Linked DNA regions of Macaca fascicularis. The protein of the gene in region 1 interacts with the protein of each later gene in a pairwise test. Links are inferred from orthologs where the notes say so. Each region holds a gene or a part of one and is shown on either strand. Other genes may lie near its edges.

Region 1 (10,086 bases):
CAAAAAAAAAAAAAAAAAAAAAAAAAAGAGAAAGCTTTTCTGACAGTAGCCATCCTAATGGGTGTAAAGTTGTATCTCACTATAGTTTTATTTGCAGTTCCCTAAAAATCAGTGATGTTGAGCATCTTTTCAAGTGCTCTATCAATGTGTTCTTTTAAAAGTTATTTATGGCCCTGTTGCGGTGGCTCACACCTGTATCCCCAGCACTTTGGGAGGCTGAGGAGGGAGAATGGTTTGAGCTCAGGAGTTCGAGACCAGCCTGGGCAACATAGCAAAACCCCGTCTCCAAAAAATTAGCCAGGCAGGTTGGTGCGTGCCTCTCCCATAGTCCCAGCTACCCAGGAGGCTGTGGTGGGAGGATCACTTGAACCTGGGAGGTCAAGGCTGCAATGAGCCAAGATTGTGCCGCTGTACTCCAGCCTGGGTGACAGAGTGAGACCCTGTCTCAAAAACAAAACAAAACCAAAAACCAAGCTATTCATGGGCTATCAGTCCACTGTAACTAGGCTTAAAACCCATTCACATAAAAAAAATTCATTTACTACACAAACATTTGTTGAGAAATTTTTTTTTTTTTTTTTTTTTTGAGACGGAGTCTTGCTCTGTCACCCAGGCTGGAGTGCAGTGGCCGGATCTCAGTTCACTGCAAGCTTCGCCTCCCGGATTCATGCCATTCTCCTGCCTCAGCCTCCCAAGTAGCTGGGACTACAGGTGCCCGCCACCTCGCCCGGCTAGTTTTTTTTTTGTATTTTTTAGTAGAGTCGGGGGTTTCATTGTGTTAGCCAGGATGGTCTCGATCTCCTGACCTCGTTATCCACCCGTCTCGGCCTCCCAAAGTGCTGGGATTACAGGCTTGAGCCACCGCACCCAGCCTTGTTGAGAATTTAACAGGTGTTCGGCATGAGGTCAGGTGCTCAGATGCTGTGAACAGGTCCACCCGGTGCACGTGTCAATCAGGTAGGTCTGCTCTAACCACTACTCTTGAGACTCAGTGGGCTGGAACTGGCAGATTCCTCAGTAGGGATCTTGATAGGGACCCTACTAGTCCACTTAGGGATTTCTGAGAAAGAACCAAATTTCTGAGCAAGGAAAGGAGTTAGGAGAAAACACTGAAAGAGGCGCCTCTTCCTCTTACCATCCCAACCAAATATTTTCTTGGGCAGGCATCTGAGAAAAGACTCATCTGGATGTAAACCAGACACCTATCATGGAGCCCTGACCATCAACTGACCCGCCACAAGTGGTTAGTAGAATGAGGGCTGGCCTAGTCCAAAGCTGTAATTAGAATACACTCCAAGTGCATTCGGTACTGCTCAGGGCTGTCTGGGTGTGCTCTCAGGCTGTGGGCTGGGAGGCTGAGGTTGCTGCAGAGCAGAGGAAAACTTGGTACTCGACAGTGCCTTATTTATTTTTGTTAGATGATACATTATCATTATAAAATATTAAACATGCCTAATGCTGGAAATATTTAAGGCAAATGTACAAAAAAATTTTGGTAGACGGCGGAAATTAATTCACCAATTTAAAAACTACTTTTAGGCTAGGTGTGGTAGCTCATGCCTATAATCCAGTGCTTTGGGAGGTTAAGGCAGGGGACTACTTGAGGCCAGAAGCTCAAGACCAGCCTGGGTGACACAGAGATATCCTGTCTCTATAAGAACATTTTTAAAAAGAAATGCTTGAAAATGCCCTTTATGTTTCAGGCTCTGTGCCCCTCAAGGAAGATGCAACAGTGAGCAGGACACAGTTCTAGTCCTTACACTGCCTACTTGAGTCTTAAAGGAGGATGGGAGAAGAAATAGGCTTAGCTATTACATTAAAAATCTAGAGGGTACAGGGAAGATGGTCTGTTACCAATTTAAAAACACAAATAATATTTAGAATAAGAGGAAAATAGTAAGTCAGAAAAAATATTTAGAGTCTATATGAACAACTCCTTAAAGTCAATTCGTTTATTGGTGCCCAAGAAGGAAGAAGGGTTGTACTCTTATCAAACAGAAGCCCTTCTTCTGGTGAACACGTACACACACACACACACACACACAGAGAGCATTCAAAGATACCTGTCCCATGTGAAAACTTACTTTTTTTTTTTTTGAGACGGAGTCTCGCTCTGTCACCCAGGCTGGAGTGCAGTGGCGCAATCTCGGCTCACTGCAAGCTCCACCTCCTGGGTTCCCGCCATTCTCCTGGCTCAGCCTCCCGAGTAGCTGGGACTACAGGCGCCCGCCACTGCGCCCGGCTAATTTTTTTCTATTTTTAGTAGAGACGGGGTTTCACCATGGTCTCGATCTCCTGACCTTGTGATCCGCCCGCCTCGGCCTTCCAAAGTGCTGGGATTACAGGCGTGAGCCACCGTGCCCGGCCAACTTACTTTCCACTAAACATTTTTCTTTTCTTTTCTTTTTTTTTTTTGAGATGGAGTTTCGCTCTTCTTGCCCAGGCTGGAGTGCAATGGTGTGAATTCTGCTCACTGCAACCTCCGCCTCCTGGGTTCAAGGAATTCTCCTGCCTCAGCCTTCTGAGTAGCTAGGATTACAGGCATGTGCCGCTATGCCCAGGTAATTTTGTATTTTTAGTAGATACAGGTTTTCTCCATGTTGGTCAAGCTGGTCTCGAACTCCGGACCTCAAGTGATCTGCCCATCTTGGCCTCCCAAAGTGCTGGGATTACAGGCGTGAGCCACTGTGCCTGGTCTTCACTAAAAATTTCAATCATCAACTCTTGTATAATGATTTTATTACAGCTATACCTCTTCATTAGGTATTGTCTATGAATGCAGTCTTCCACATAAACAAATTTTTCCAGGAATTAAAGTTTTCCTTTTAAGCAGTAGTATTCTGTTTTCTTCTAGCATTTGTCCATGGAAAATTTCCTATATTTTCTAACTCTTTAAATTTTTCTACAGAGGCACAAAGCACAGGTTAACTCAATTAATTTAATCCCATTTAACCCAATAGAAATTTAACCCAACAGAAACATCTGGTGTTGTCCTGCGCTGTAACACACAGCACAGCCATGTTCCTGTCTCCTCCTCTGACCTGGGACTGCCATCTGTCACTTCTCTCCCATGTCAGTGATTTTGCTTCTCACTAGTCTTAACTTTAGCTGTTAACTAATCTCCTATAAGGTTTGGAACCAACCAACCAAAAATTACTTTAAACGGTGTTAGAAAACAATCAGTAGGCTCTGAGTAGGTATAAGAAGCTCTGCTAGGGAGTGAGGCCATGGCTAGGGGTGTTGTGACGTATTTGACTTATTAGGTTATATTTTTTCTATTTCTGGTTTGAGAATTTGGCTCTGAGGCTAAGGCTGCCACGAACCTCAGCCTCATGGGTGACATACGCATATTTCATGCTAATTCATTCTTCATTGTATATATTTATTGTTGCTGCTGTTGTTTTTTTTTTGAGACGAAGTCTTGCTCTGTTGCCCAGGCTGGAGTGCAATGGTGCGATCTCGGCTCACTGCAACCTCTACCTCCCGGGTTCAAGCGATTCTCCTGCCTCAGCAACTGAGTAGCTGGGATTACAGGCGCACGCCACCATGCCCGGCTAATTTTTGTATTTTTAGTAGAGATGGGGTTTCGCCATGTTGGTCAGGCTGGTCTCGAACTCCTGACCTCATGATCTGCCTGCCTCAGCCTCCCAAAGTGCTGGTATTACAAGCGTGAGCCACCGTGCCTGGCTATTGTGTTTTTTTAAAAGTAAATTTAAGAGGCTTTCCAGCAAAACCCTGAAAAGCCTGCTAGACAAATTCTGAAAGAGCTGTAATACTTCCTATACATTTAATGTTATAAAATTCCAGTTTGTCTATTTTCCCTTCTTGTTGACACCCTTTTTCAATGGAGGAAAAGCAATTTACTTCCTTATGGTAGCATGACCTACATTACCAGAACAACAGAAATAATTTAAATGTCCATGGTAATGGTAAATTACTATATGCTGAAATAAAAACCATGTGATAACATGGGCACTATTTACTAAGCAATGTTATGTAAACCCCGCCACAAAACTATACACTGTCATTATAACTACATAAAAAATCAGAATTATATGGATAAAAAATTGGATGAGAATCTGGTAAAATGAAAATATCTATTATGTAGAGAGATTTTGGATATATTTACATTTTCATGTAATGCTCTGTAAAGCTATGATTATCATATGTTTGAAAGATCAAGGCAGTTACAGGGAGTTTTTGTTATAATTAATCAGACATTATGCCAATTTCAAACTAGAAGGAATAGAAGATGGCTCTACTTGTACTGTCTCAGGAAGATGAAAACGGAGGACGATCGTCCAAAGAAGCAAAATAATAAAATTTAATACTAGCAAACCACGGTATTTTGAGTTTGTAATGACACATTAAAATAACTGTTTCTCATATGCATTCTGGGCATCTGCAATTTCCTCACTGCCTGTGGAAGGGGAATTTACTAGAATGTAGATGGCTCCAAAAGGTTCTCTACCCCACTCCAGGCAAGAGGCCTGGACTTTCTATACAGCCCGAGTGTCACTCAGGCTATTCAAGCATGAATCTTCAAAAACCTTGGCAGAAATACTCACTCCGGCTTTCGTTTCTTGCCAATTTGCTGGGATAACTTTTGGTCGTTTGTACATATGGCTCTGGAGGTGGCAAATCGGAAATTGGATGGAAGTAGAATCTGCTTTCCCACTCATCTGGGAAGAGAAACAAGCAGTATCTTCAGTGACAGACAATCTGCTATGAAGACTTACGTAACGAAAGGCACAGAATGAAACAGAGAGAGAACCACAGACATCAGTGCTAGTTTTTATGCCTAGAAGTTTACAGAAAAGCTGGAAGTGCTGCAAAGGTCACAAATTAGTACACTGACGTATATACAGACCTGCAAATCAAAGCAAAGTGGTTTTAATGAGAGTGATTAGGATCCAGCCAGTCCCTCTTAGGAGCTGGCGGCTAAGGTACAGGACACCTTTTTCCCCATTGATAACAATGGCAGAGATAGGCAGTTCAACATGTGCAGGCCATCGGGCCTCTTACCTACAGTGAACTGTTTAGAAATGTACATAAGAAGAAGCTATTAAAAGATTCTTTTCAGAATCCTGGAATCTCTGGAAAGTTAACTAAAATGAGACCCAAACAAAGAACAGATCAGGGAAAAATGATCTGCCTTTTTGGGAAGTGGGGAAGGGGGATTACTAATTTTAATTTGAAATCACTGTGGGCCTTAGAATGGTTAGTTAGATCAGTGCAATGGAGTGTGATAATGATGGAACAAGAAATTAAACGCAAACAAGCAAACCACATATACAAACAGATTTACCATTTAGTTGCTGCCCTATAGCCCAGGGAGTCGGACCATACCTCACCTTCACATGGAGAGTCTTGGAAGCCATTTCTAATAGATGTTGATGGTGGAGGTGGGGGAGGTGCCCCAGCACTGGGCCTGTCAGGAGGAAGGGGAGGCCTGGGTCCACTCCTTGGACTGTCTACTCCACTCCTGGACGGCAACTGAGGGGTGGCAGGCAGGGCCCGAGACGTGCTGCCGTTTCTGCTTATTGGAGGAGGTGGTGGGAGGGGGCCTGGAGCAAAAAAAGACACATAGTGCAGAACCTTATATCCATATTCCATCACCGTAGTCACCATTAGTGTACAGCTGATGGGGACCTGCTGGACACATGCCCTTTAATTAGGGTGGAGATTTTCTAGGGTATTTGGCTGAGAAATGAGTAAACACAGAAACACAAAAAATGCATGTGTACACATGTATATGCAAAACAAGTGCATACTGATAGCTAAATGGGTGTTTTGGCTTTGAATTAGCACTGAGATTGGAGATGGCACAGTGAAACTGAAAACAGGTGAAAATCTGTTTATACTGACAACCATATAATTAAAAAAAATTTTACAATCCTTTAAAGAGCTATTGAACTAATTACTGTGACATGATGAAATAATTTTTTAAAAAAGAATAAGATAGTTATGAAATTATTTTAGGTCTTGAGAAGAATGAGGTTCTTTAAATGCAGTTTTGTTGTTAATTACAGAAGCACGCTTCTGTGATGCATATGATCTGTTTCCAGGCAGAAGTGGCATCAGGAAACCAAATACCAGTCATCTTGAGAGCAGTAGGAGTTTCTTCTTGGTTCTTCCTCTTTGGGGAGGCAGATGAACACAGGGAGTGACAAACAGCTAATCAACATCCATGGCTATAAATGCTAATGTGAATCTTGACCTTGAGCAAGCTGGTACCCTATGGAACTTGGTTTCCTAGTTGTAAAAGAGTGCCACATGGTCACCTGTCTCACAGCACTGCTGCCAGGAAAAACTAGTGAAAATGCAAATAAAAAATACTATGTAAGTACTTGAAACCATTTTTAAAAAATGTAGCAGTATGGTATAACCATAAGTTTTTAAGTTTCTAAAGAAAAATTCAAAGTAAATTATTTTTGATAATACAAAAGAAAACCTTGCTTTTCCTATCCTCCAAATGCAGGGGCTATTTGAGTAGTAAGTAAACTAAAAAAACAAAACTAAAAACTTGAGCATTTTCCAATGTAAATCAAAATGGCCTTAGTAATTATTCCTGATCTTCAGCAGTGGGTTCCACTTGTAAGATGCTGACATTTTATGTGAATACAATATCTGACGGTGCTATAAATAAATATCTTATTAGCTATAGATTCAGAATCCAATTAGGAACCTTAACCTGAACAACCTGCCCACTGCAGATATCCCTGACAGAAAGTCTTGGCTCCAACATTTTATGGCGGTGGGAGGCACTGTCCAGCCCTGATTGGTCTCTCAAGGAGTCTTCAGTGCCTCACCTGGGAGTGGTTATTTATTACCCTATCTGCTTGTCATTGCTGGAGTCCCAGGCAGCAAGAGTTGATTTATTGAGGAAAAATGTCTCATTTGCTGTGGGTTTGACTTCATTGGTGATACCACCACACAACTGTCACTACATGCAAACTCGACTTTCAATATTATGGGGCCCTGTACTATATAACTTCATCTCTTTTTCTTTTTAAAGTAAATGGTCCTGTTCATGTTCCTAACTCTCCAACCTCATGGCTCCCTGCTCCAAATCCTGACAGGCACAATAGAAAAGAAAACAGATTTCTATTTCCCACTGGCAGAATAACAGAAATGATCATTTATTGAATATAACTACATGCCAGGAAATAAGATAACCACTATCCATGCTTGTCTCGTTTAATTCTTACAACTCTGAGAGGTACAGGGACAGGAGACAAGGCCTCAGAGGTTTTGGAAGCTTAAAAAGCTCATCAGAAGACTGAGTGGAGGAGCCAGGATCTGACTCCAAATCTGTCAGATTCCAAGGCCCACTCCCGTAACACTGAAGCCAAATGACTCAGAATACACAGGGCCTTTGATGAACTCTCATATGCTCCTTGTGGGAATGTAAATTGGTAGGAAATTTCTGGAAGGCAATTTGCCAGTACCTATGAAATCCGTAGTTTACTATGCACACTCACTAACCTAGATATTCCACTTATAGGAATTCATCCAAAGGAAATACAGAGATGTGTACACATATTTTGCTACAAAAATGTATCACTGCATTATCTGCACCAGGAAAAATCTAGAGATGGCCCATATGACCAGGTGAGGGGATTGGTTAAATAAATCAAGGTACATCTGTAGGATTTAATATTAGGTAGCTGTTAAAAGTCAGGCTGTAGAAGAATAATCGTATCACTAAACATTAATGAGATACTAGTAAATAAAAAGCAAATTAGCAAACAATATATGTAGTGTGATACCAAGTTTGTAAAAACATATGCATTTTAAAAAGACTGAAAGGACACAATAAAAAAATGTTATCAATGACTATTTCTGGATGGTGGTGGTAGAAGGATTACAGATAATTTTAATTTTCTTTATATTTTTCAGTATTTCGATAATAAACAAGTATGACTTACGTAATCAAAAGAAACAATAAATGTTGTATGTCAATGCTTGTCATATTTTGGGGAAGATTTAATCTGCTGACTCATCCATTTGGTAGGGCCACGGCACAATGGTTTCAAGGTGTGGTTCTCACATTCTGCTGCACACTATAATCACCAGGGAGCTTTTAAATATCCCGATTCCCAGTCTGCACCCCAGACCAATTATACCAGAGACTCTGGGAAGGGACCCAGGCATTCGTGGTTTTTAAAGCTCCGTAGATGATTCCAGTATGTGAGCAAGTTTAAAGAATGGTGATTATGAGGTTCCTGAGGTCACAGGGTCAAAGGTCTCTTATCTCTGCGTAAAGGAAAAAAATGCCCCATTTCCAGACATAAGGTCTGTATGATGAGATTAAATTTGAAAAGTGGGTGGTTCTACCGAGTTCATCCATAACCACTGTAAAACGCATCAAGTGAGTGTACTCTACTAAAAATGCCTATTATAATTCGGAGAGGGCAAACTCTAGGCAATCCTTGCGTTTTCTTTCATACTCTGAAAGTTTGTCCCTCAGATCAAGGTTTCTCAACCTTTCCAACCGCATTGGAAAGGTCTCAGATGGGCTTCAGCAGGCTCTTCAAGCCATGTGACAGCATGCAGATTTTGAGTTTATGCCTGAGTATTTTTGTAAAGATAGTCTATACCTTTGATTCTCCAAGGGATTTATGTACCAGAGATGTTAACAAAGAGCAAAATGGACTTTTTAAACATTTGTCTTTAATGAACAGGGAAATGGCCTCAAAGCCTGGCTAATGAATAGAGAAGTACAGAAGTTCATTAGCTCTTGAAAATCTTCCCCTGTTGTTGGAGTAATGGAGCCCTCCTGCAGGAGGTGGGGACTTATTTTCCCAAGTAAGACCACTGGAATTCTCTCTAGGGAGGCAGGGTAGTGGGCTGGCAAGTACACTTTACAGATGGAAGACGAAAGTTCTTACCTCTTCTTTATTAACTAGCTCGTGACCATTTAACTTCATTGGCTACTCAGTGTCCTCATCGCTAAAACACCAACAGAAATATTGGTCCCACTTTCCTCAGGGATTTACACGAGGTCACGATCACATGTGTCGCGTGCCACTTAAAAGCACAAAGCAGTCTTAGAGTTTACTTATGCCTGTTCTTGTTAAGACTATCTTGACTGACAGCATTATTGGTACATTTGGGCAGGCTGGGTTTTGGAAGCGACTCACCCCACATCTTGTCATACCTGATCGGCCTGGCGGGTCCCTCACTGGAGGTGGGGGTCTCTCGCTGGGCGGGGGAGGAAGAGGACCTGAACGTCCTGGCGAAGGTAAGGGGGGCGTGGACGAAGTGAGGGACAGATTCCGCTGTGGGAGTCTTGGGGTTTCGTCATTGCCGCTGGAACTTGGAGGCAGGGGAGGCGGCCCGGGCCTGCTGGGAGGTGGCGGCGGAGGTGGGGGCTGTGAGGAGGAGGAAGGCCGCGGAGTGGAAGGCACTGGAGGCTTGTTGTTCTGAGGAGGAGGAGGGGGAACCGCTTCCCTGTGGATGGAGGGCCTGTTGCCTACTGGAGGAGGTGGTGGAGGGGGTTTGTCATCCAAGGCCCTGCTGGGCGTAGGCGGCAGGGGAGGCCGGTTGGAGAAGGGCGAGGAGGAGCTCAAGGGAGACTGACGTATTGAGCCTCCTCCCAAAGCAGCGCCGCGGTTTCCAGGGAAAGGGGGAGGAGTGGGCCCGGGGCCGGGCTGCCTCGGGCCTCCGGGCACTGGTGGGGACCCCCGGTTGTGCAGACTTGATTGAATGGGTCTTGGAGTACTAGGTACTGGAGGGGGAATGCTATCAGGCTTTGAGCCCAGGTCGGGCCTTGGGGGCGGCATTCGGTTCCTCTGAGGCTCTGGGGGACCACTTCTGTGGCCTGGAGAAGGCACAGGAAACCTCCCTGGGCCACTTGGGGGTGAAAAGGGTTTGGCAGATGTGGATCTTCCTCCCGGTGGCAACATGGGTGGTCGGCTTCCTCCAGAATCTGAAAAACAGGAAAACAAACATCCAGTTAGGAAATCAGGAACCCTAAAGAAATCAGAGAGCTACAGTCTGTTCCCAGTGACTTGAAGTCCCTTCCTCAGAGGGCTATAAAATACAGGAAACTATCATTTATATAAATTGGGTTTTGTGTCT
Region 2 (10,545 bases), on another chromosome or scaffold:
GCTCTGTCTCCATGGGCCTGCCACCTGCCCCTCGCTCACCTGTGCAGTAGCCTGGAGGCACAGTCAGGTCCTGGCGGTATTTCTCCTCCCCCAGCAGCTGGCGCAACCCCTCAGCTACTATGTCCTTGTGACTGAGGAGAAAGGACACCAGTAGCAGGAAGGGCCCGGCCCCTCATCCTAGTCTGTCCCGGTCTAGTGCCACCACCCTGGGTAAAGCCCTCTGCTGCTTCAGGGCCCAGTTTTATGGTGGCCGAGAGCTCCTTAGCTTTGGCTTCATGGTCCCTCTGGCTTTTCCACTCTGCTGCTCCCAGGCTGGCCCCTCCCCTTACCCCAGGCTGCCCCATCCACCTGTACTTGCAGCGGGCACGGTCAGTGATGAGAGGCTGGGGAAAGATGGGCACTTGCTGCCTTCGGGGAAGGCGGGGACCCCGGTATCCTGGGAGCTCCAGCTCCACGGCTGTGTCCAGCAGGGAGAGGTAGCGACGCACAATCAGAGCATGAGGGGTGCCTGTGGGGAGGCGGGGACTGGGGCTCCGGGCTGCAGGCCACCCTGTTCCCCTGCCTCTCCAGCCCTCAGGGGCCCAGCCGGCCATCCTGGCTGCGTACCACTGATGTAGTTGATGAAGCCAGGGGAAAAAACAAAGTGCAGGGCTCTGAAGGGCAGGCACCGCAGTTGGCACAGTGACATCAAGATGTTGACTGTAGCCAGGGGTGCCACCCCTGCTTCCCGAGCCAGGATCCTCTCAAGGCAGGGCATAAACTGCTGTTCCAGGGGCAGGTAGTTCAGCCGCCCAAAGGGCAGAACCAACTTCTGTACCACCTGTGAAGGAAGAGCAGTTCATTACCCAGTGTGAAGTATTGCTGCAGTCATTTTTTACAAGCTAAGCCTTAGAGAGGCTTAGCCCTCAAGTTTGTAACACTGCTGTAAAGACAGGACAGTCCCTACAGCCTCACAGTTCAACAGCAAAGCAGTCACAAGCTGCACGTGACTAATCACCAGACAGGCAGAGGGGACATCACTGTGGGGTTTGGCCCTGAAGACTTCAAGGAGAGGGATGGGTGGAGCTAGGATGGTGCTAAGAGTGCTTTGGGAAACTGCAGAGTTCCAGGAATGCATGCTGGTGACAGGAGGTGGGCAAGTCACAGAGAGGGTGTAGGAAAAGATGCAGGTCCCAGGGGACAGAGAGGGTGTGTCTGCTTCAGGAAAAGGATAGCTGAGCTGCACAGGGTGCTGGGCCTGACGAGGTCCCTGAGAATGACTGAGAGATGCACTGGAGGGTAGGTGGTAAGCCCACCTTGCTGCTGAGCTGGGTTTCCTGAACCACCAGGAAGTGGGCAATGGCTTCCAGAAGCTGGGGCTCCCGTAACCGGTGCCGGGCCAGGTGCTGGGCCAGGAGCACCATCACATGGGGAGTCAGTTCCTCTGGCCTTGCCTCTGTGAAGAACAGCCTGTCATGCTGGGCCTCGGCTGGACCTCCAGCTGGCTCAATTCCACCTCAGCCCAGCCAACTGAGACCACCTTCCTCCTCCTGTCAACCCTCCCAACCCCGTCTGACTTTAACCCCCTCCAGCACCTGCCAGGCTGCTGATCAGATGCTGCCGTGGATACCGCAGAAAACGGGGACAGCTTAGAGCAGCTTCCAACCCTTGCCCACCTCGGAGAAGGGGCTGCAAAGGGGGAGGTGGCTTCGGAGGGAGGCGGAGCCTTCGCTCCTGTTCCAGGGCACACACCAGGGGACCATCAGACGGAAAGCCTGAGGGGGAGAGGTAAAAGGCAGCCTGGTAACAGAGCTGTGCTGCTGCTCCAATCATGGGGTTACTTGAATTCCCCACCTTTCACCTCTCTGTTTCCTGAGCAAGGTGTGCTAGAGTTTAAGTGCAAACACTAAAGAAATGTAAAGTATCACGTGGCTATGAGGTATCAAAATGGTCTGTGGGGAGTACATACAAAGATGGCAAATAGGCTTTCATCTTGTACCAATTGTGACAAATTATGGTGGCTTCCTAGGGCACTCTATTAGCAGGAATCTGAGGTGGCACCCTAGCGAGGCTGGAAGGAGTGCGTTTTTCTCATGATGTCTGCTGCAGACATAGGACGGGAGCAGGAGCAACCATTCCTGGGCAAACACCTGAGAGGCTGGGTCTCCGTCCGTTGTCCTCTACTGTTCTCCCTATTCTTCATTAACACCCAGCCCCCCAGGCGCCCACCTCAAGCCCCTCCTCACCAAGTAAGACTGCAAGGTGCAGACACACGTGGATGGTGTGAATGTCAAAGGAGGGGCAGTTTCGGATGATGAGCTGACTCAAGTCCTGCAGTGTGGCCTGCTCCACAGGAGGGGGCCGTGGCCGAGACCCCAAGAGCTGGCCCAGACGACGAAGCGCCACCGAGTAGTGGTGGACGCGCACTTTGGTGGGGTTCTGGCCCAGCCAGCGCAGCAGCTCCCCAGGGCTCTTTGCCTGTTCCAGAAGCCGCTGCAGTCCTTGCACAGGACCCGCACTGGGGCCTCCTCCAAGAGGCCGGTCCGCCCATTTGCTGAGCCCCAAACAGCAGGGCTGTACTGGAGGGATCAGCAGCAGGCCAGACAGCCGAGCAGGGGAGGTCTGAGCAGAGAGCAGGATTCGAAGCATGGAGTTGGGTGATGGAGACCCTGAGGGGCAGCCCAAAAAAGGGGGTGAGGTTTTCTCCAAAGGGGAGAAAGACCTGCTACCTACTCCTTACCTCACTCCTCATTTAGGGGGCCTGTGGTCAGAGCAACCCTTTGTGACTGCTCTGGGCCTCTTCCCCACCCCGCCCCTCTGCCTCCTTCCACGCCTTTGAAACAGCAATCATAATCCTCAGTGCGCTCAGGGCACTACTTGCAAAGCAATTCCACATGCACCATCTCTGATGCTCCTTACACGCCCGTGAAGAGTAGGCAGGGCTGGCATTACCTCATTTCACCGGTGGAGAAACGCAGGCCCAGAGCAGCTAAGGGGTTAAGTTAAGCCTGAGGTCATTAACCGGGTTAGTGGTCGCGCCCAGTCTGGAGCCCAGGCGGCACCGGCGTGCACTCTCCCGACCACCTCCCTCTCCCGCAGGAGGCGGCGGCGGCACAGAGGGTGGAACGCGGGCTCCGCGGCTGGACGGCGCTGGGTTCCATGCTGGGCGCTCCCACTCACCAGCGGCGTGACCTTGGACAAGTGGCTTCGTCTAAGTCTCCTCACCCGTGAAATGAAATCGCAACGCCCACCTCGCAGGGCGCGCGTGGAGCCCGAGTGCACCGCTTTGCGATGGCGTGGGGTCGGCGAAGTCGGGGGCCCCCACACCCACCCCGACCCAGGGACGCCAGGAGACCGTGGCCGCTGCCGCTAACACCAGCTCCCGCTGCCCTCCCACAGCCCTCCCCGCAGGCGCCACCCCTACATGACTCCCCGGGCCCTGCGCAGGTCGCTCCCTCAGTCGGTCTCGGGGCCCGGGGGCCGGGTTCCCCCCGCGGCCTCCTCATCGGCTGGCCACCGAGTCCGCCATCTTCCCAGCAGCCCCCAGATAGCCGCCCGGACACCAATCCCGAAACAGCTATCGACCAGCGGAGACGTGGCTCCCGGCAGGCACTGCGAGCCAGGGAGCCGTGAGCTCCGCCCGCGGGAAGTGCGCGCGCGGCACCGGGGGCGGGGCCACGGAGGCCGGCGCCAAAGCCAGAGCAGAAGGCAGGGGAGAAGGGAAAGCGGTGGGCCAGAGCCGAGGGCGCCGTCCGTGCCCTTCTCTCCCAAGGGGCGAGGAGTCCCCGCCCGCCATCCCGCACACACTCAGACACACTGCAAGAGTGAAAACTTCACAGTTACTTTAATCTGCACAAGTTCCGGGGAACTCCTATGCCCCTCCCCTTCACCTGCCTCCCACCGTCCTGGCGTCCCCAACTCAGGCCAAGGAGCTGTCAGGGATTGGAGGCGGCTGGGTCCTCCGGCAGAACGCTAAGACGGGCCCCGGGGGCGGCCGGGCTCTGCCCGGGGCCGAGGCAGCGACAGCAGATGCCCGACCCCGAGGAGCCCACTCCCAGTGCGGACTGAGGGCCAGCAGCCCCGGGAGGTGGCCCCGAGCCCCGGTGGTCGCAGGGCGGGGCCTCTGCCAGCCCCTGGAGTCTTCTGCGGCGCAGGGCTGGGCTCCAGGGCAGCGGGAAGAGGCAGGCCGGAGAGACGGGCCTGGGCAGGCAGCAGCTCCCGCTGCGGCGCGGGGAGCAAGGTCCAGAGGGGCCGGCGACGCTGCCAAACGCCCGCGGAGGCACTACGGGCGGTACATGGCGAAGGCCAGGAGACTGAGGAGCAGGGTGAAGCCGGCCAGGCCCAGAGTGGCGGTCAGGGGAAAGAAGGGCCGGTACTGGATCTGGCAGTACCAGAGCAGCAGCAGCAGCAGGAGCAGCAGGGGCAGCAGCAGGCTGCCGATTTCCAGCCCGGAGGGGCCGGGCTCGGACCCCGGCGGGCAGGGGGGATTTGGGGGGCCGACCCTCGTGGACACGTGGCAGTGGAGAACGCAGTTGGGAGGGAGGTGAAGGCTGCCCAGGGTCTGGGTGTCGTCGCCTAGCAGCTGCCCTTGGTAGATGAGTCGCACCTGCTGTTCCCGGCCAGGAAACTGGGTCCTGAGGAGAGAGGGACCTGGGTAAGAGAGCAGGCCTCAGGCAATCCTAGTCCCTGGCCCCGGAACAACACTCCCACCCTTCCCCTGCCCTCCACAACACACCGGCCCTGGCCTGGGAGGGGCAGACTGCCAAGGGAACAAGTGCAGTTGTGATCTGGGGCGCTCAGCGCCTCCAGTATAAAGGAGGGCTGGGTCTTAGGTCTCTCCTGGGGCCTTCTGTGACCACTCCCCCCACCCCTGTCTTCAGCATTGCTCCTGCCTCTTGACCTACGTACCTTTTCAAGGAGCCAATGGTGTCGTGGGGCCAGGCCCTGGCCACCTGCTCTGAATCATTGAGGAATTTCAGCCGTAGCACGAGGGGCTCCTGCGGGGAGTCCGGGGCTGGTGGTGTTGCTGTGACCCCCGTGCTGGGCTCTGGCTGTGCAGCTTGACCTCTGTGTCTCAGGCTGGGGGTCTCTGCCCCTGGGACCTCCGCTCTCATGGTGTCGGTAGCTGCCATGGCTGCGCTGGGCTGGGATGGCGTTGGGGTCCCTGACGGCTGGGGCAGTGGGTCCCCGCCCTCAGCGGTGTGCGTTGAGACCCAGGCGAGGGCCAGCACCAGAAGGCAGGCAAGCACCGAGAAAAGGACGGTCACCTCATCACCCACCCCTTCAATCAGGGTCATGGCGCCTGCCTTGCCCGCCGCGCTACCGAGCTGGAGAGGCACAAAGAGCCCGTGAGGCGCGGGCCCTCTGACCAGGAGCCCTGGAACCTCCACAGGGTCCTGCCCCCACCCCACCGCGACGCTCCCACCGTCCTCAGCCTGGGTTCCCTCACCCACCCCAGGGTACGGGCTGCTTTGCCTCCCAGTCGCCCCAAACTTGCCTCCGGGTGCCCCTTCCCATCGCCGAATCCCAAGTCCTAACTTTCTGTCATCTGAGCTCGAGGTCTTCAACCAGCTCCCAACTCACCCAAACCCTATCCCAAGGTAAGGGCCTAAGCAACGCCTCCCCTAAACTTCACCCCAGCCAAACTTCACGCCCATGCGTATCTATTCTCCTGCCCACTTCACCCCAGTGTGTCTACTCCTTCACCGACTTCACCCCATGCTCATCTACTCCGTTGCTAAAGTTTCTCCGAGGTGGGGGTAGAGCCTCTGTGCCCCCACCCCCCGCCCCCCGCATTACGGTTCACCTAAACCCCACCCGCGGCACAGGACTGCTTCCCAGGCTTCCCCCACAGCAAACGTCAAACTCCGCCCCTGGGCAATCTGGAGCCTCCGAGCGTCACCACCCACCCAGCTCGGTCCCCTCAACCCCACTCCGCGGAGGCCCAACTCCACGCCTTCTCTGGAAGTGTCTCCAAGCCCCGCGGGCTGCCAGACCCCAGATCCCGCCCGGAATCCGAGACTTCACGTTCCCTACCCCCACCCCTCATCACCCCTCCCACCTTCCCGCCCCCCGGAGCCGCAGGAGGGCACGGCGATCCAGGGCAGGGCGGGCGGGGCCCGGCCGGGGCCCTGGGCGGCGGGGTGGGCGCGGTCATGGCGCGGGGACTCACCGCCCGGCTGCCCCAGCTCCATCGCGGCCCCTCGGACACTTCCGGGCGGGAGGCGCGGAGGTCGCAGGCACCTGAAGCACCCCTCCTTCCTCGCCGCCGCGGCCCGGGGCATTGTGGGACTTGTAGTCCGGCGCCGCTCTGTCTCCGCCCTCCGCCCTGCGGACCCACGTGCTGGGCTCCACCCGCGGTTCTCTGCTCCAGCAGATCGCGGAGGGGTCGGTGGGGACGGCTTTGGGGGGTTGCGCTACCGGCTAGAGGTTTGGGCGGCAGCAGGGTCCGCCCCCTCCCCCGCCAACAGCCAGAGCATCTGTCACACCAGACACCGACGTCAGCTGAAGCACGTCAGAACACCCGTGTTCGTGATGCAGTGAGGAAGGCTCTGAGGAACTCAGGTGGCCCCTACCCTTATGTCAGAGTGGACGCCAGAAGGCACTTTGGCCACCAAAATTAATTCTTCAGCCCAGAGCCCAATATCCATGGGCTGTCCCACTAGGCTGGCCAGGGATACCCATCCTCAGGGCTGCCCCTTTCCTTGGTCCCCTCCTCCACCTTGCTCTTTCAGGACTGTGGAAGAAGCATAGACCTTGGAACCTGGCACAAATCCTGATCCCTTATCCTGTGCTTCTCAGCTATATGACCTTGGGTGGGTTATTGAATCTCTCTAAAGATTAATTTCTTCCTTTCTGAAACATACGTCGTAAGTCAATCATAAGGAAGAAATTAGATGTTTTATTTAAAAGTGTGAAAACTAAGGTACATGTCACACAGTAGCTATTTGCTCACCTCCGCTCAAAGCTGGTCTCTGGAATCGGATCCTGGTGTGTTACTGTGTGGATGACATTGAATCCCAGGCCTGTGGATATCTGTGGATTTTTCCCTCTGGGCTCCTGTAGCCACAGAGATCTCACATCCTGGTTTTTACAGGCCAGTCTTGATTTAAAATAATCTATCCTAGTTTTCCCATAGTTCTTGCCTACTGTGGGAGCAAGTGGCCCAAATATTGCCTTAGGAATGTCAGTCTAGATTGATACCATACAGAACTAACCTATCTAGTTCCATCCCTCCTGTTCATTCATTTATTCTACTAACATATTTTTAAAAGATATACTATGGCCAGGCGCGGTGGCTTATGTCTGTAATCCTGGCACTTTGGGAGACCGAGGTAGGTGGATCACTGAGGTCAGGAGTTCGAGACCAGCCTGGCCAACATGGTAAAAGCCCATCTCTACTAAAAAAAAAAAAATACAAAAATTAGTTGGATGTGGTGGAGGGTGCCTGTAATTCCAGCTACTCAGGAGGCTGAGGCAGGAGAATCACTTGAACGTGGGAGGTGGAGGTTGCAGTGAGCTGAGATCGAGCCACTGCACTCCAACCTGGGCAACAGAGTGAGACTCTGTCTTGAAATATATATATGCATATATATATATATATATATATATATATATATATATGCACACACACTATTTGCCAGGCATTGTGCAAGATACTGGGAATAAAATGGTGAATCAGACCATCTTCCTGCCCTCATGTGGCTCCATATACTAGTAGAGGAGCTAGTCGTGTGAACAGCCCATCAGAGCTATAACAGGTGTGTGCTAGTTGCTGGGGCAACACATTTGAGGAGCTCTTTGCTCTTAGTATCTCTTTTGGGAGGTATACCTGGTGCTACTTCCTGCTGTCAATTCTAATTAAGCATCTAAAAGAGATGTTGGATGTTACTTTTAGAATTATACATCAGAACTAGGTTTTCTGTTCAACCACTATATTTTGCAGATGAAACCCAGAGAGGGCACAAGATATCCTTAAGGTTATGCAGGGAGATAGAAACACAGACACAGATTCCTCAGGAGCTTAGGAGACCCTATGTGTTGATTAGCTTGCACCAGGTGCTTTGGAAGGTACAAGGAACTCAGGAATAGTGACTGGGTTGGTACTGGGGCTGAGTTGTGTGGGTAATCAAATGGTGGACAGCTTCATGCTGGGAAAAGATCCAGCTTGGCCGGGGAAGTGGAAGTGTGTGTAAAAAGGACGATGTGTGTCAGTGATGCCCGAGGATATCTGGGGGTAGCAGATACCCTGCAACATCTCTGGGAGATTTATTGGCTGGGGCCACTGCTCTGCAAATGTCACCTCTTGTAGGTTTTAGGAAACCTGTGTGTGTGTGTGTGTGTGAGTGTGTGTGTCTTGGGGTGGGTGGGGGGGGGGCGGCTAACAACTGCAGCCCACTTTGGCAATGGCACTGCAGAGGACATTGCAGGGAGCTACCTGACCCTAGAGGGAGTGAAAGGACAGGATGGACAAGGGGTGAGGACAAGAAAAATTGAGAGCCACGTGGGCTTTGGTTGGTCTCTCCAATGGGATGAGTAGGGGAGAAAGGCATATATTTCATCCCTCCCTCTTCTTCCTCTGTGTACCAATGGGGTCGGGTAGCATTTAGCTAATCTCCCAAGTCCAGCAGGGGGACGGTCTTTTAGGAGAGGCCGATCACGAGAAGGTAAGAGTAGAGACGAGTTTGTTCAAAGTGTCATTTCCAGGGGCGTGCCGATGATGAAGCGCTCAGGGAGAACTGGAAATAGCAGCCCAGAACCCATCCCAGCCTCTTGAGCTGCAGCCGGCAGTGGAGAGACTGGGCAGGGAGCCAGGGAGAAAACTCTGGCAGCCGGGTGGTCTCTAGGGCTGACCTCGGAGCCTGGGGACAGGGGAGCCTATGCCGCACTGAAGGCGGGACGCTGTAAGCGAGGAGCGGCTGGGCCTGGGCGGGCTCCTCGACCAATCAGCCTCGGTCAGCAGCACCCTCAGGCGCAGGGCACTGTTTGGGCATTGCCTAGAGATCGGACACCCGGCCCAGATCAGCGCAGGGAGGCGAAAGCGACAGCCGGGCGCGGGAGGAGACCAGGGCAGCTGTCCCCTCGGAGAGGGTGGCCCTCGAGGCAATGCGGGTGGGGGCTGGTGAGGAGGCGGAAGGGCCGAAGCTGAGTGGGAGGGGCCCGGGCGCCTGGGCTGGAGCGCGCGGCTCGGGGGTGGAGGCTGAAGAGTCAGCTAGCGAGCGAGGGGCGGGGGCGCCCGGGCCGGCGCGCAGGAGGGGCGGGGGCGGCGGGGAGGGGGGCTCGGGCTGCGTGTGCCGGAGCCGGCGGGGGCGGCGGTGCGTGCGCATGACGCGGGGGGAGGGCCCGGGCCGCGCGCTCCCGGTCCCGTTGTTGTTGCCGCTGGAGGCTGCTCCGAGGCAGCGGGATCACGGCGCCGGGAAGCGCTCGGCAGCGGCGGCCACAGCGTGCGCGGCGGCGCCTCCTGGCCTCGGCCTCCGGCCCCCGGCCCCCGGCTCCATGCGCTAGCCCCGCGCCACCAGCCCAGTAATCCCGGCCCCGCCAGCCCCGCGCGCCCGCTCGCCGCCGCCGCCTCCGCCGCGCCGCCCCGGGCCCGCCTCAGGCCCCACGGCTCCGAAGCCATGAACTTCCAGGCGGGCGGGGGGCAGAGCCCGCAGCAGCAGCAGAGCCTGGCGGCTCCGGGGGGCGGCGGCGGCGGCGGCGGCGGCAGCGCGGGGGGCGGCGGGCAGTTCGGCGGCGCGGGGCCCGGGGCCGGGGGCGGCGGCGTCCCCTCGCAGCAGCTGGCCGGCGGGCCCCCCCAGCAGTTCGCGCTCTCCAACTCCGCGGCCATCCGGGCCGAGATCCAGCGCTTCGAGTCCGTGCATCCCAATATCTACGCCATCTACGACCTGATCGAGCGCATCGAGGATTTGGCGCTGCAGAACCAGATCCGCGAGCACGTCATCTCCATCGAGGGTGAGCGAAGCCGGGGGCTGCGGGAGCAGGGGCGCGGTGGCCTCTCCGGCTCCGGTCGAGGGCTCCACGGGCCGGTCCTGGCCATGCTCTCCCTGTCGGGGGTCCTTGCGCGCTTGAGGTCCAGGCCACGAGGTTTGCCGATCTGTGCTGCAGAACCGGCGGGCAGCTTCGCCATATCTCGTTCGGGGACACTTTGGGGTTGGGGGTTTTCTGCTCACTGTGCTCCAGGGCGCGAAGGTGGTGTCGCTTCGGGGGGCCAGGACCAGATCTATCCAGGCCTGGCCGGGGAAGGTGGGCGCGGCAGAGGGCTTCAGCTGCCGGGAGGTGGGGCCGTGACCGGGGAGGCATCTTAGCCGCTGCCCGGGCCCTGCTCCGCAGTGGGGCGGGGGATCGGAGCCTCGCGTTAGTGGATGGCAGCCTTCCCTGGCCCAGCGCCCGCAGGCCCGGAGGGTGGCGCTCGCCGCGGCGCCCTCTCCCGACGCACACCCCCTACGCCGCGGCGGCCAAGCGGGCGCGGGCCGGGCCTGGCGCTGGGCTGCGGCGCCGCGACCGCGTGGGAGGCGCCGGCAGGTCCATCCGCGCCTTGGCCGGGTCGTGAGCGCGCCAGGGACCCGC

What was found.
Region 2: the proteins of WIPF1 (region 1) and FASTK interact in binary tests that used the Homo sapiens proteins (3 or more experiments, as listed by UniProt). The two-hybrid records come from large-scale screens. The link is inferred for Macaca fascicularis from reciprocal best matches to the Homo sapiens genes WIPF1 and FASTK.

Annotation. Positions count from the first base shown.
Region 1 is NC_088386.1:70,079,837-70,089,922, forward strand, and holds part of WIPF1 (WAS/WASL-interacting protein family member 1), read right to left. Parts: intron 9,935-10,086; coding exon 9,164-9,934; intron 5,568-9,163; coding exon 5,355-5,567; intron 4,683-5,354; coding exon 4,569-4,682; intron 3,779-4,568; exon of another isoform or gene 3,716-3,778; intron 1-3,715. UniProt on the Homo sapiens protein: Plays a role in the reorganization of the actin cytoskeleton. Contributes with NCK1 and GRB2 in the recruitment and activation of WASL.
Region 2 is NC_088377.1:192,357,568-192,368,112, forward strand, and holds the start of FASTK (fas-activated serine/threonine kinase), read right to left. Parts: upstream 3,533-10,545; 5' UTR 3,486-3,532; coding exon 3,404-3,485; exon of another isoform or gene 2,932-3,403; intron 2,649-2,931; coding exon 2,226-2,648; intron 1,755-2,225; coding exon 1,575-1,754; intron 1,436-1,574; coding exon 1,296-1,435; intron 821-1,295; coding exon 607-820; intron 509-606; coding exon 349-508; intron 132-348; coding exon 40-131; intron 1-39. Other genes in the region: TMUB1 (transmembrane and ubiquitin-like domain-containing protein 1), read right to left, coding at 4,262-4,613, 4,888-5,306, 6,041-6,136. UniProt on the Homo sapiens protein: Phosphorylates the splicing regulator TIA1, thereby promoting the inclusion of FAS exon 6, which leads to an mRNA encoding a pro-apoptotic form of the receptor.